2 linked regions of the Drosophila melanogaster genome follow. The protein of the gene in region 1 interacts with the protein of each later gene in a pairwise test. Each region holds a gene or a part of one and is shown in the gene's direction. Other genes may lie near its edges. The genes, in order: mop and Rab4.

What was found.
Region 2: the proteins of mop (region 1) and Rab4 interact in a two-hybrid assay, tested with the Drosophila melanogaster proteins (one study listed by BioGRID).

Annotation. Positions count from the first base shown.
Region 1 is NT_037436.4:14,769,832-14,777,987, reverse strand, and holds the start of mop (myopic), read left to right. Parts: upstream 1-1,858; 5' UTR 1,859-1,992; coding exon 1,993-2,076; intron 2,077-2,480; coding exon 2,481-3,230; intron 3,231-3,296; coding exon 3,297-6,239; intron 6,240-6,305; coding exon 6,306-7,298; intron 7,299-7,362; coding exon 7,363-7,491; intron 7,492-7,551; coding exon 7,552-7,733; intron 7,734-7,788; coding exon 7,789-7,976; intron 7,977-8,031; coding exon 8,032-8,151; intron 8,152-8,156. Other genes in the region: bmm (brummer), read left to right, coding at 1-55, 222-310, 381-649, 1,003-1,187.
Region 2 is NT_033778.4:17,571,624-17,575,610, forward strand, and holds Rab4 (Rab4), read left to right. Parts: upstream 1-1,838; 5' UTR 1,839-2,075; coding exon 2,076-2,091; intron 2,092-2,160; coding exon 2,161-2,241; intron 2,242-2,311; coding exon 2,312-2,644; intron 2,645-2,707; coding exon 2,708-2,919; 3' UTR 2,920-3,356; downstream 3,357-3,987. Other genes in the region: POSH (plenty of SH3s), read left to right, coding at 1-143, 205-379; UQCR-6.4 (Ubiquinol-cytochrome c reductase 6.4 kDa subunit), read right to left, coding at 780-900, 1,029-1,081; CG42239 (uncharacterized protein), read left to right, coding at 1,300-1,410, 1,480-1,578; Dcr-2 (Dicer-2), read right to left, coding at 3,772-3,987.

The DNA of each region.
Region 1 (8,156 bases):
CTTAATTTTGCAGTTGAACCACGCCATGCGGATACGACTGCTAAATAAATTCACGGTAAGTTAATTAGGTACCTGTCTTGTGATCATTTGCTTAAGTAATCAATTGAAGTGCATTAAGGCTGTCGCTCACATTTTCATAAATTTGTTTTATTTAGAATTGACGGCTGGCAATGAATTTGAATATGAAATGAATTATACTAACGAATGTGTTTTTATTGCAGCTCTATGACCAGCCTCACTTCGATGCCACAGGACTTCTTCATTCCAGCCGCTTATATGGACCCCGTGTTTCAATCCTTGTGGATGAATGGTAAGTTAAGCAGTAGGATTAATCCTCCAAGGAAGCGTTTAACTAATCGTGCCGTTCTTTTGGTTTTCAGTGGAGCCACACCGCTAGAGGACGATGTCGACAACTTTGAGCATGTCCTCAAGATGACCACGCACAACGACGCTCTATATGCCTATTACTATACTGACAGCAACACGAACAAGGTGAAAGTAACCGAGATCTTTGACTTTGACGAAATAACGGAGCACGACAAGCTGGCCACCGATCTGCAGATCTACGAAGGCTCTGTCGAAGATCACCCCAATCCCCACCAGCACAGCCACAATACGGTGGTCAGCGAATGGAATGGCGTCGAATCAGGTTGGTATTTGTGAAACGACCGCACTTTCAATTCAAAAATCACATCATTACGTAGAGAAATCGTATCATTTGAATCAACACCAAACATTTTTTGCAGTACAAGTAATGCCCACGACTCCTGAACTACACGACGTAGCCTTTTAAAGCACTTACAAACTAAACGACTATAAATGCACCTCCATAACCCTTCACCCACTCAAGCATTAAGTCCAAATTTTAAATCGTTGGCGCAGGTAAATGATCTAAATTTGCAATCACTCCCCCGTATATTCCCATAACAAAATTTCATTTTATATAGTTCGCTCTTATGAATGGTTAAACTAAACTCTGTCTTACTTTCTCATGCTCCACAGACTTCTTCATCGATGCGCATACACCAAATGTGGAGGATAGTAAAACATCAGCGCCACAATTCTCCCGCCTGGACCTGGAGACCGAGTCGGATGCTAGTGTGCTAAGTGATCCCGAGGTTGATCAGACTTTTAGCTCCACGGCCTCCACGCACAGCAGCGACATGTATATAGAAATTGAGGGGTAATTAGTAATGGGGAGGGGGCAATCCTCTTAGGAACTGTATCGAAACATCTCCAAAGCGGCTCGTAGCAAAGCGAAAAGCCTAGTAGCGTTTCCATTAGTCTAAATTAGTCTTAGTACGACCAACGTATGTACCTAACTTAACTTAGCCGTATGCTGCCATTGTATCATCGTCAGTTTGTAAGCGGCAATTAGCTAATAATTGCATTCTTGTTATTAGTCACCCTCACACGACTTGTATTACATCCAAATCCCCATCTGTGTTTAGCCTAAGTTGATAATGTATAAACAATAAAAAAAATAAACAACAAATATTTACAGAATGTCTGGTTGCGCATTTACTATTAATAAAATAACTAATTGTGATTAATGGGGAATTCAAGGAAGGAAAAAAAAAAACAAACAAAAATATGGTGCGCTTCGTCACTATGTAAACTGTCGTTCACAGTGATATATATGCAGTGCACTTCTTTCATCCATCTATAACAATTTATATAAATTGTTAGACATTCGCATTCGTAATATCAAATTTTTTAAATTTCATTTTCTTTATAAAATTTAATCGGCATAAAAATTTAATACTTCTGGAAAAGAATACCGTTCTAAAAAGTATCGATGCCAATGAATGGAATACCCCCTACGCACCTGCCATTTTTAGTGCATATTTCCAGAAAGCTGAAACGGCCACACTGCAACATTTTTCATAAAACAATCTTGTTTTGATATTGGTAAATTAATTGCCAGCAATTAGTTTAAATTGTGTGTAAAATAAAAGGCCAACTGGGCAGGCAACAAGTAAACTAATCACCATGGAGGCGGTGCCCCGTTTGCATATGCTCTGGTTCGCCCTAAAATCGAGTCCCGAGGGAACCTCCTTTGCGGCTTTGAAAAAGGTAAAAGGAAGAGAGTGCGAAAGGGGGAGTGAAATAATTAAGAGAGCCAGCAAAACAAAGAGGAGACAACTTGGTGAAACGGAATTATCGGTCAAATTGGGAAAATGCGTTGCTTATTGGATTCATATTGGAATCGAAATTCCCATTCTCACCATGCCATTTGCTCCATTGCATTTTCCGTTTTCACCAACTTTTAAGCCCCCTTTGTCTGGCGGCTGAGTCATCGTCGTCATCTGATTAAATTGGCAAACAAATAAAAAGTTATAAGCAAACACTGGCAGTTTGTTGGGTTATTGCACTTAATTCCCCATGAAAACCCATTTACCCTAAAATATATTCTTGTTTTCCTACACTAAACTCCATAACAAAAATCCAACTTAAAACATTTCACGTTTTACTTCCAGTACATCGCGGAATTTTATCATGAAGATCCAGAGGCTTACTCCAAAGAGGTCCATGCCCTGGAGACTTTGCGCAACCAGGCCATGCACACCACGAAAGATGGAGCGCCGGTGATGAAACGCTACTATTGCCAGCTACACGCCCTTCAGAATCGATTTCCACAGCTGGCGGATCGCGGAATCTTCACCTTTAAATGGAAGGATCTCTATCACAGTGCCGTTCACGAGGTCACTGATCTGCGATTCGAACGGGCTGCGGTGCTGTTCAACATTGCCGCATTGCACACTCAGTCCGGAGCGTCGGTGACCCGTGGCGATGTGGATGGAATGAAGATGGCCTGCACTCACTTCCAGGCGGCTGCTTGGGCCTATGGAGAGCTGAGAGAACGCTATGCCAATGTCAATGGCGGAGGGGATTTTATGACCCCAGAGCTGCTGGTCTTTCAGCAACAGGTGTGCTTTGCCCAAGCTCAGGAATGCATACTCGAGAAGTCGCTAATCGACAATAGGAAACCGCATATTGTGGCCAAAGTGACGGCGCAGATTGTGGTTTACTATGGAGCTGCACTGGCTGCTCTTCTTACGGGAGGAGATGATGGTCCAGTGGCTCAAGTCATCGATAGTTCTGTGTACAAACTGTGGAAGAAGTACGTTCGCTTCAAGATCAACTATCTCACCTGCATATTGTACCTATACCAGGGCCAACATTCCGAGGAGAAGCGTCAGATGGGCGAAAGGGTGACGCTCTACCAGGTAACTATAACATTTTGAGCTCTATTTAAAGGAAAGGTTTAAATGCTTACTTTATATTCCTTTCAGGCTTCCTGGGACAAACTGGAGGAGGCGCGCAAAGAGTCCAAGGGCCTTCCTGACCAGCGGGAAATCAATGAATCCCTCAGCTTCACCGCTGATGTGGTGGAAGCAAAGCGCAAAAATGCCAAAAACGAAAATGAGTTCATTTACCATGAGGCGGTGCCCGAATTGTCCACCATTGCAGCCGTCCAAGGTGCCAATTTGGTCAATGGGATTGGCTTTCAAGTAAGCGACGAGGAGCACGCGGGTCCAGACATCTTTGCCAGATTAGTGCCCATGAAGGCCCACGAAGCCAGCTCGTTGTACAGCGAAGAGAAAGCCAAACTTTTGCGTAAGTACGGAGCTCTGCTGGAGGAGAAGGACACCCAACTGGAGTCGTACATGAGCTCCCTCACCCTGGATAATCTGAATATCAACGAGGAGCAAGCCAATAAGTTGCCCCAGGGCATCGTGGATCGCTGTGCCGCCTTAAATGCAAACAAGACTGCTATCAGCGATCTTGTAGAGGCCATGTCTCAGCTGGCTGAGATTACAGCCGATGTGGAGACCAACCTGGGCGAGATTTCAAGCATGCTGGAGGCAGAAGCCAAAGCGGAGCGAGAGTTCCAATCCGCCACCGGCGTTCAACGAACACCAAATGCCCACATTACCGAGTTATCGCGAGAGTTCCAGAAATACAGTGAAGCCCATGCACGGGCAGGGGAATCCAATAATACCTTGCGGAAAGCCATGAGCCTGCACGTAAATAATCTAAAGATCCTGGCCAGACCATTGCCTGAGATTCAGCAACTGATGCCCAAACTAAGTTCGGAACTGAATACCACCGAAATTTTCAGGGATGTGAAGCTCATCCTCAACAAAGTCAACGAAATGAAGGCGCAACGTGCTCAGTTTCATGCGGATTTGAGGATAGCCATCAATGAGGATGATATCACTGGCAAAGTAATTGCCCACGGTGGACAGGAGGGCCTCCAAGCTTTATTTGCAACCGAGCTGGGCAAGCACGACAAGATCACCGAACTTCTCGATCAGAATATGGTGGCTCAAGGTAATATTCTGCAAGCTCTAACTGAAAACTATGCCAAGGCGGCACCAGTTTTGAAAACGCTCCAGGACGTGAAGCAGAAACGGGAGCACTTTTACAGCTCGCTAGCTGCATCCTATGATGTTTATGAGGATCTGCTGGCCAAATCCGCCAAGGGCTTGGAATTCTACAAGAAACTAGCCGGAAATGTACAGAAGCTACTTACCAGATTTCGATCCGCCAGGGATGTACAGTCCGAAGAGCGCCAGCAAAGGATGCAGAGCGTTAAGGCCGCAACAACTCCAGTTGTCAGCAAACCAATAGCGGAAACTACGCCTGTGCCAGCGGTGAGCAGCACCCCCAAATTAAGGGATTACCTCAAGGCCAAGGCAGCGATGGCGGATGCCTCGAATCCCGCCTATGTGCCTACAGTGCGTCCAGTGCCGGTGGGCTCGGAGAATCCCACGCAGGCCGCTTGTTCCTATGCCACTGCACCACCGAATGAGCCACCTCCACCCTATAGTCTCACACAGCAGCAGTATTTTGATCCCAGTGCCGCCGGCTACACGAATCCCATGTATCAGCAGCAACAGCAGCACATTGCTCCACCGGCCTACAAGGCCCAAGCATCGCCAAACTCTCAGACCCTCCACGGAGCGCTCGGTCAGATGAATTTGCAGGGCCAGTCGCAGGATAACAACCAAGCAGGCATGGCTTATAATTACGGGTATCCAAGTGGGTCTGTTCCTCCTCTAGCTTACGCTCCACCCGGAACAGTGCCCGCAAGCTCAGCTTCCCAGGGATTGAATATCCAGCAGCCTCTGTATGTGGCTACATCGGGCAATCCAGTTTCGGTTTCAAATCCCAGTGAGCTGCCGTCCACCCTGCAGGCACCCTTCGTGGTCAATCCAATGTCCAATCCCTACCAAACAGCGGCAGGTTATTCAGGGCAGGCTTACCAACAGGTCAATGCTCAAGCTCAACAGGTGACTTATCCTACAGCACCATCGGGCTCTTCAACAGGACAATCAGCTCAACAGCCCTTGGGTTATGCGCCAAGTCAGGGGCCACAGCAGCAAGCTGGTGGATATCCACAATCTCAGACACCGCAGCAACAGGTGGGAGCTTATCAACAGCAGCCATTATCAGGCTATGCCCAACAGCTGACGCCTCAGCAACAAACTGGATATTCACAGTCGCAAGCACCGCAGCTCCAAGCGCCCAGCTATGCCCAAAATCAGCAATCGACTGGACAAGCACAGCAGCAACAGACTGGATATCCACAGACACCTCAACAACATCTAGCTGGGTATGCTCAGTCCCAGCAACAGGCTACAGGATATCCACAATCGCAGACATCGCAGCAGCAGACCACCGGGTATTCCCAGTCCCAGACGCCTCAACAACCACTGGCATATCAGCAGCAACCATCTGGTTATCCACAACAACAACAACAGCAGTCACTTGCTCCGCAACAGCCATCACTTTATCCATCGCAGGCTGTCCAGGCGTCGCCACAACCTATTCCTGGCCAGCAGGCAACACCTCCGAATGCTGGGCAACCTTTGCCATATCCACAGCAGTACACTGATCCCAATGCAGCTCCAGCTCCAGCTCCTGGGGTTTCTTCTGTACCAAGTCCTGTTCCAGTACCGACTCCAGCCCCCACTTCATCTCAAGCTCAGGTTCCCACATCTCCGCATCCTTCGGCCACCTACACCAGCTATTCCAACCATCCTGGCTATAGCTTTAATCCGCAGACAGGTAAATACGAGTACAGCAGTGGCTATCAGCAGGATACCAGTTCGTTGAAGGGATCCCAAGCCTCGCAAAGCTACCAGTTTAGCCAGAGTGGCAAGCAGCAGTCGGTGGGAACAACGGACTCAGAGATTGCCAGTCGCAGCAATACCGCCACTGGATTCGATGTAAGTGCTATGCCCATATATATTAAAGGTATTGAGACCTAAAATAACGAAATTTTTATCCAACAGTCACCTATCGTGTCCCACACCAAGGTTAATATGGCAGCTAAGGACTCCACTTCTGCGATAGAGGGCAATGAGTCATCCAACTACTACTCCACTCCCTATGGATACCTTGGCAGTGTAAATCCGCAGCAACAACCCACTCCTGCGCCTCCTTCGAATTCAACTGCTTCAATTTATATGCAAAGTGGAGCGAGCAGCACTGCTGAAACCCAGACGACTTCCAGCGGAGTTCCTTACGCCTCCTCCGCGGCTTTGACCAAAGTAGAACCAAAGCCGGAGGCATTGCCTCCCAAGGTTACCAGCAATGTGGATCTGCTTAGCGACCTGGACATTGACTGCTCCGTTGCTGTTCCGCCGCCAATGTTGCCGCAGCCTGTTTTGCAGCCCCAGGTGGTGGCCACTCCTACGCCGCCGGCAAGTCAGGTATCGGTGCCTGTTAAGGTAGAAAGTGTGGCAGAGCACGCTGCTCCCGCAACAGCGGAAATTCCTGTAGCAGCCACCGAGGGAACTGCTCAAACTCCAGTTACCATTCCTTCGGGTCCGAAGTGTGCCAGTTTAGATAACCTATCCAACTGTTCCGACCTAAGTTCCCTGGAGAACTTTGACTGGGACTCGGTATCCGTTACACATTCCGTCAGTGAGAAACAGACCAAGGCATCTGCCACAGCCAATGGCCATTCGAGCAGTTTTGCATTCCAATCCGAAACTTTTACGGACGAAAAAACGACAAAATATTTCCAAAAGGAGGTGGAGAGCTATGAAAAATTACTAGAGAATTTGCACGTGAAAATGTTGAATGGAAAAACACAACTGGGCGCCAAATGGCAAGAGCTGCAGCAAAAGTTGGATAAAGAAGCCGCTGCCAACAAGCGATCCACCACCATTGCGAAATTGTTCCCGGAGAAAAATCGATCCCTTGATTGTCTGCCATACGATCATGCCAGAGTAAAGCTGGACAAGCAGACCGATGACTACATCAATGCCGCCTACATGAAGGTGAGTTATTCCAGAAAATGTTTTTATAGCACACAATCTTTAAACGCCGTTGTTATTCATTTAGAACTTGAGTGCCGGCTGTCCCAACTTTATTGTCGCTCAGACTCCCCAGCCAAATACCATCAACGATTTCTGGTCCATGATCTGGTCGGAGAAGTCGCGCACTGTGGTTTGCCTGCACACCCCAAATGAAGTGAGTAACTTCAGCAAAACTATGAGATTATTGAATCTAAATATTTGATATGTTCTATAGCTTTTCGATCCCTACTGGCCGCAAGCTTTGGACCAGCCGACTCATTATGATGATTACACCGTGACCTGCTTAAAAGTGCAGCAACTTAGCCACTGCTCCGAGTATCAACTTAAATTGTCCATGCATGGAGCGGACGCAGTGCTGGATTTATCTCTACTGCAGCTGAAACAGTGGACCAAGGGGTAACATGTCCAGATTTCGTCCGATGGAAAGAAATAAATAATTGCTATTTTACAGGGCTCCAGCTCAACTTCTGGGTGTGGCGGAAAATGCTTTGGAGACCCATCGACAACGCTGCAAGGCAGCCAATGCTCCGCAATCGCCGCTCATTATGAACTGCTTAACTGGTTCAGAGCGTTCCGAACTGGTGGCCATTGGAGTATGTGCTATTATAGCGACCCAAAACAAGCAGCCAATTTTGTTAAGTAAGCGTAAAATTTTATCACTGTAAATTAACACTAATCGCGTGCCCCTATTTAGATACGATTGATGTTTGGTCTCGCATTTGTGCGCAGCGTCAAAATTCGCTTAGGGATTCCGCCATCCTGGAGCAGTCCATGCAAATTGTGCTCTGCAATGCTCACAATGTGCTAAACAAACGTAAG
Region 2 (3,987 bases), on another chromosome or scaffold:
GCCAATATGATTATTGCACCCAGCCATCGGAAGTCGCACAGCCTAGATGCGAGTCATGTGCTGAGTCCCAGCAGCAATATGATCACGGAGGCGGCCATTAAGGCCAGCGCCACCACTAAGTCTCCTTACTGCACGAGGGAAAGGTGGGTTTTGCAATACATTATTGTGAGCTTAGAGATTTACTAATGCAACCTTTTATCGTAGTCGATTCCGCTGCATTGTGCCGTATCCACCAAACAGTGACATTGAACTAGAGCTACATTTGGGCGACATTATCTACGTCCAGCGGAAGCAGAAGAACGGCTGGTATAAGGGCACCCATGCCCGTACCCACAAAACCGGGCTGTTCCCCGCCTCCTTTGTTGAACCGGATTGTTAGGAAAGTTATGGTTCAAACTAGAATTTATTAAGCGAAATTCCAAATTACTTGTCTAAAAGGATTCAATCGTCGGTCTATTCGGGCTTCCAAATACGCAATCTCATATTTCTCTTTTCAAAAAAGAAACCGTTTTGTACTCTTCCAATCGAATGGGCAGCTCGCCGTTGTACTTTTTTATACAATGCTTGATCAAAATAGGCTAGCCATGTAAGACTTAGGGAACAGTTACTTAAGCCTTAGCGATTAGTTAGCTAGAGAAATAATCTAACCGATCCTTGTGCCCTCTACAAAGTTATTTGTAATATACGATACTCAGTAATACCCTTTGGTCGTTTTAACTTATTTTATTCACCAAGCAAAACATCGAGGCTAACTGTGGATTCAACTACGGCAGGCAAGGTTACTCGCTTTTTTCGAACTTGGATCCGTAGATGGGCACGTACTGTAGGACCAGCTTCCAGTCGGTGTAGTAAAGCACGGCCAGGCCAGCAGCTCCTCCGAATCCGGCTCCAGATCGGATGCTACGAATTAAAAGAAACTAGTTTAGTTCTCTGGATGGGGTTATGCAATGTGTGCTTTGGTAGCAGTAAAAGAGCGGGAACACTAATGAATTCATGATGCAGAATCAAGCACGACAGCATATACTTACAAGGAACTCGCTATCTCAGCGTGCTTCTTGCCAAAAGGTATGCGGAAAGCCATTTTTGTTGATTTAATAACTTTTCACACGCACCAAAATGTTCGCAATGAACGCAATAGTTTCAAATGTCCTAAATAATACCACTACAGTGTGACCGTAGGATAGCGTAAAACTTTAAAAGCAAGGTGTGACAACACTGTGCGGCCTACGTGAGAACAACAACTAGTCATCAACAAAAACTAATATTCGCAAAGAACTCATCAAAAATTACGAAATTAAAATGAAAATATCCGTTTTTGGGGAGCTTAACACATTCGAGCTGTTTGTCCTGTCCACTGTGATACCGGCGGTGTTCGTTTTCCTTTGGACTCTGATATCTGGCGATATGAAGGTACGGCAGATAGTGCTTATCAGAATGGTTAATTTTAAGTAATTTTCCCTTTCTGCCCTGAGTTTACAGAACTTCAAGGGCAGCAAATTGGCATACTCAGTTTATACGGCCAAGGATCCCATTAATTGCTATCAAGACTACGAACCAGAGAAGCAAAAGGATACGTAGACTATGTGCCGGGTTGGATTACCAGGGCCCACCATCTTTTATACTTTTATTGCATATATGTATGTATGCAAATTGTGTGATGAATAGAAGAGGGTTTTTGAAAAAAGACAATAAACCTTTGTGGGCTGCATTTCATATTTTGTTTTTTCTTTGTAGCTTTCGGCAATTTTCATATATTTGGAAATATTTTAAAAGTAAACAAAAACTTAATTGCAATATGAATCATATTTTGAACCACCTGGTCACACCCACCCCTTGTTGGTATTTTCGCGTTTGTAGCGAACCTTCTCACTGAAGTGAGTCCAGTCAAAGATTTTAAGGTAATTTTTGGCTTTCTAATTGTTTAAACGCTTACTTATCGACGGATATTGCGGGTTTTGATCGTGTCCTGCGCACTTCCTGGTGCCCATACGCACCAGCAATCCGATAGTCCTGAAGTCTGGCCGAAAAACCAAAACAAACAAAGAAGACAACTACGCAGAAGACGAACAAAAACAATGTCGGAAACATACGGTTTGTCAGCACACATTTAATTAATTAATGCATTTTACTAATTAATATCGGTGCTCGGCGCTCACCTAGATTACCTGTTCAAGTTCCTGATAATTGGCAGTGCTGGCAGCGGTAAGAGTTGTCTGTTGCATCACTTCATCGAGAGCAAGTGTAAGTTTGGTGGTAGCCTGAAAATGGTACACGCCTAATGCATTTTATACATTTTGATGTACCATCAAAGTCAAAGACGACAGTTCGCACACCATCGGAGTGGAGTTCGGCTCGCGGATTGTGAACGTGGGCGGCAAGTCGGTAAAGCTACAGATATGGGACACAGCCGGTCAGGAGAGATTCCGATCGGTGACAAGATCGTACTATCGCGGAGCAGCCGGAGCTCTCCTGGTCTACGATGCCACTTCGCGGGACTCTTTCAATGCTTTGACAAACTGGCTGAATGATGCTCGCACTCTGGCCAGCCCAAATATTGTGATCCTTTTGGTGGGCAATAAAAAGGACTTGGAGGAGGCGCGTGATGTGACCTTTCTGGAAGCAAGCACCTTTGCCCAAGAGAACGGTCTGTTTTTTAGGATTCTCCATAAATTTCCTATCGTAATTCTACGTCTGTTTGTCGTTGCAGAGCTTATCTTCCTGGAGACGAGCGCCAAGACGGGGGAGAATGTTGAAGAGGCCTTTCTCAAGTGCTCAAAGACCATACTGGCCAAAATTGAGACCGGAGAGCTGGATCCCGAGCGCATCGGCAGCGGTATTCAGTACGGCGGAGCTGCTCTCCGTAACTTACAGACACGACAGCGCAGCATCAATAAGCCGGATTGCACCTGTCGCGTTTAAGTCGCATAAGTTGTGCTGATTTATTTCCATTTAATCTCAAACCGGAATGCGCATTCGGATTACCCCTTAGTTGTATTGTGTACTTGTGTGTGTCCACTTTTTTAGTATGTATTTTGTCTTGCTAGATTAATCATTCCAATTGTAAGCATAATGCTAATCGATTTGTTTTTTAACATAACCAATTACCACTTTGAAAACCTATGATTTCGGGTTAACCCCAAATGTTACTTACTATAATTTGTAATTCGTGAAGCACTAGAGCCCTCGAGCAACAAATGATGTATGGCTATAAGCACATGGATCTGATCTAGAGGATGAACAGAATACACTCGGCATTTTTAATGTAAATAAGTAGCGATACGCCGTTGACGACGTCGCCGATTGTAAATCCCATTGAAGCATGCACGCGGTAAATAAAAACGCCCATTGATAAATTCAATTGTATAAAAATATTTATTTCGACCCAAGGTAACAAATATTGTATTGGGGAAGCTATTAAATTTTATTAATAACAATGAAGCTAAAACATTTTAAATGGCAATAATTGATAAAAAAATAATTAAAAACCGTTTGTATTTGAGGAAATTGGCATAGCATCTTTAGATTGTGTTTCCAAATGGGCTGTTTTTGTTTTGATTTAAAAGGTCTTAACAATTTATGGTGATCAAAAATGATTTTTTGGTTTTAGACATTTATGTCTATTAAAGCGATGGAAAAGTATTTTTTAATTCTAAGATATACAGTTAAGTTCATTAGGTGCCCTTTGCTGTCCTCTTCCAAAGGATTACGTCTTGGCTAGAAAGCAAATTCAATGCAGTTTAGCAGAAACTAGACTGGGCTGGAATCATCATATTAGGCGTCGCATTTGCTTAGCTGCTGAAGGGCGTGCTTGGCAGCCGATAGCTTGGCCTGGTCCTTATTGCTCCCAAATCCGTACACCTTGATCGTCTTTTCCATGCAGGTAAATTGACAACTAACCATTACAGTTTCCCCTTCGACGATGGGCGAGCTAAACACGGGCTTCGCATGCTTGTGCTCAACGAGCTGTCGTATATGATTGATGGGCAC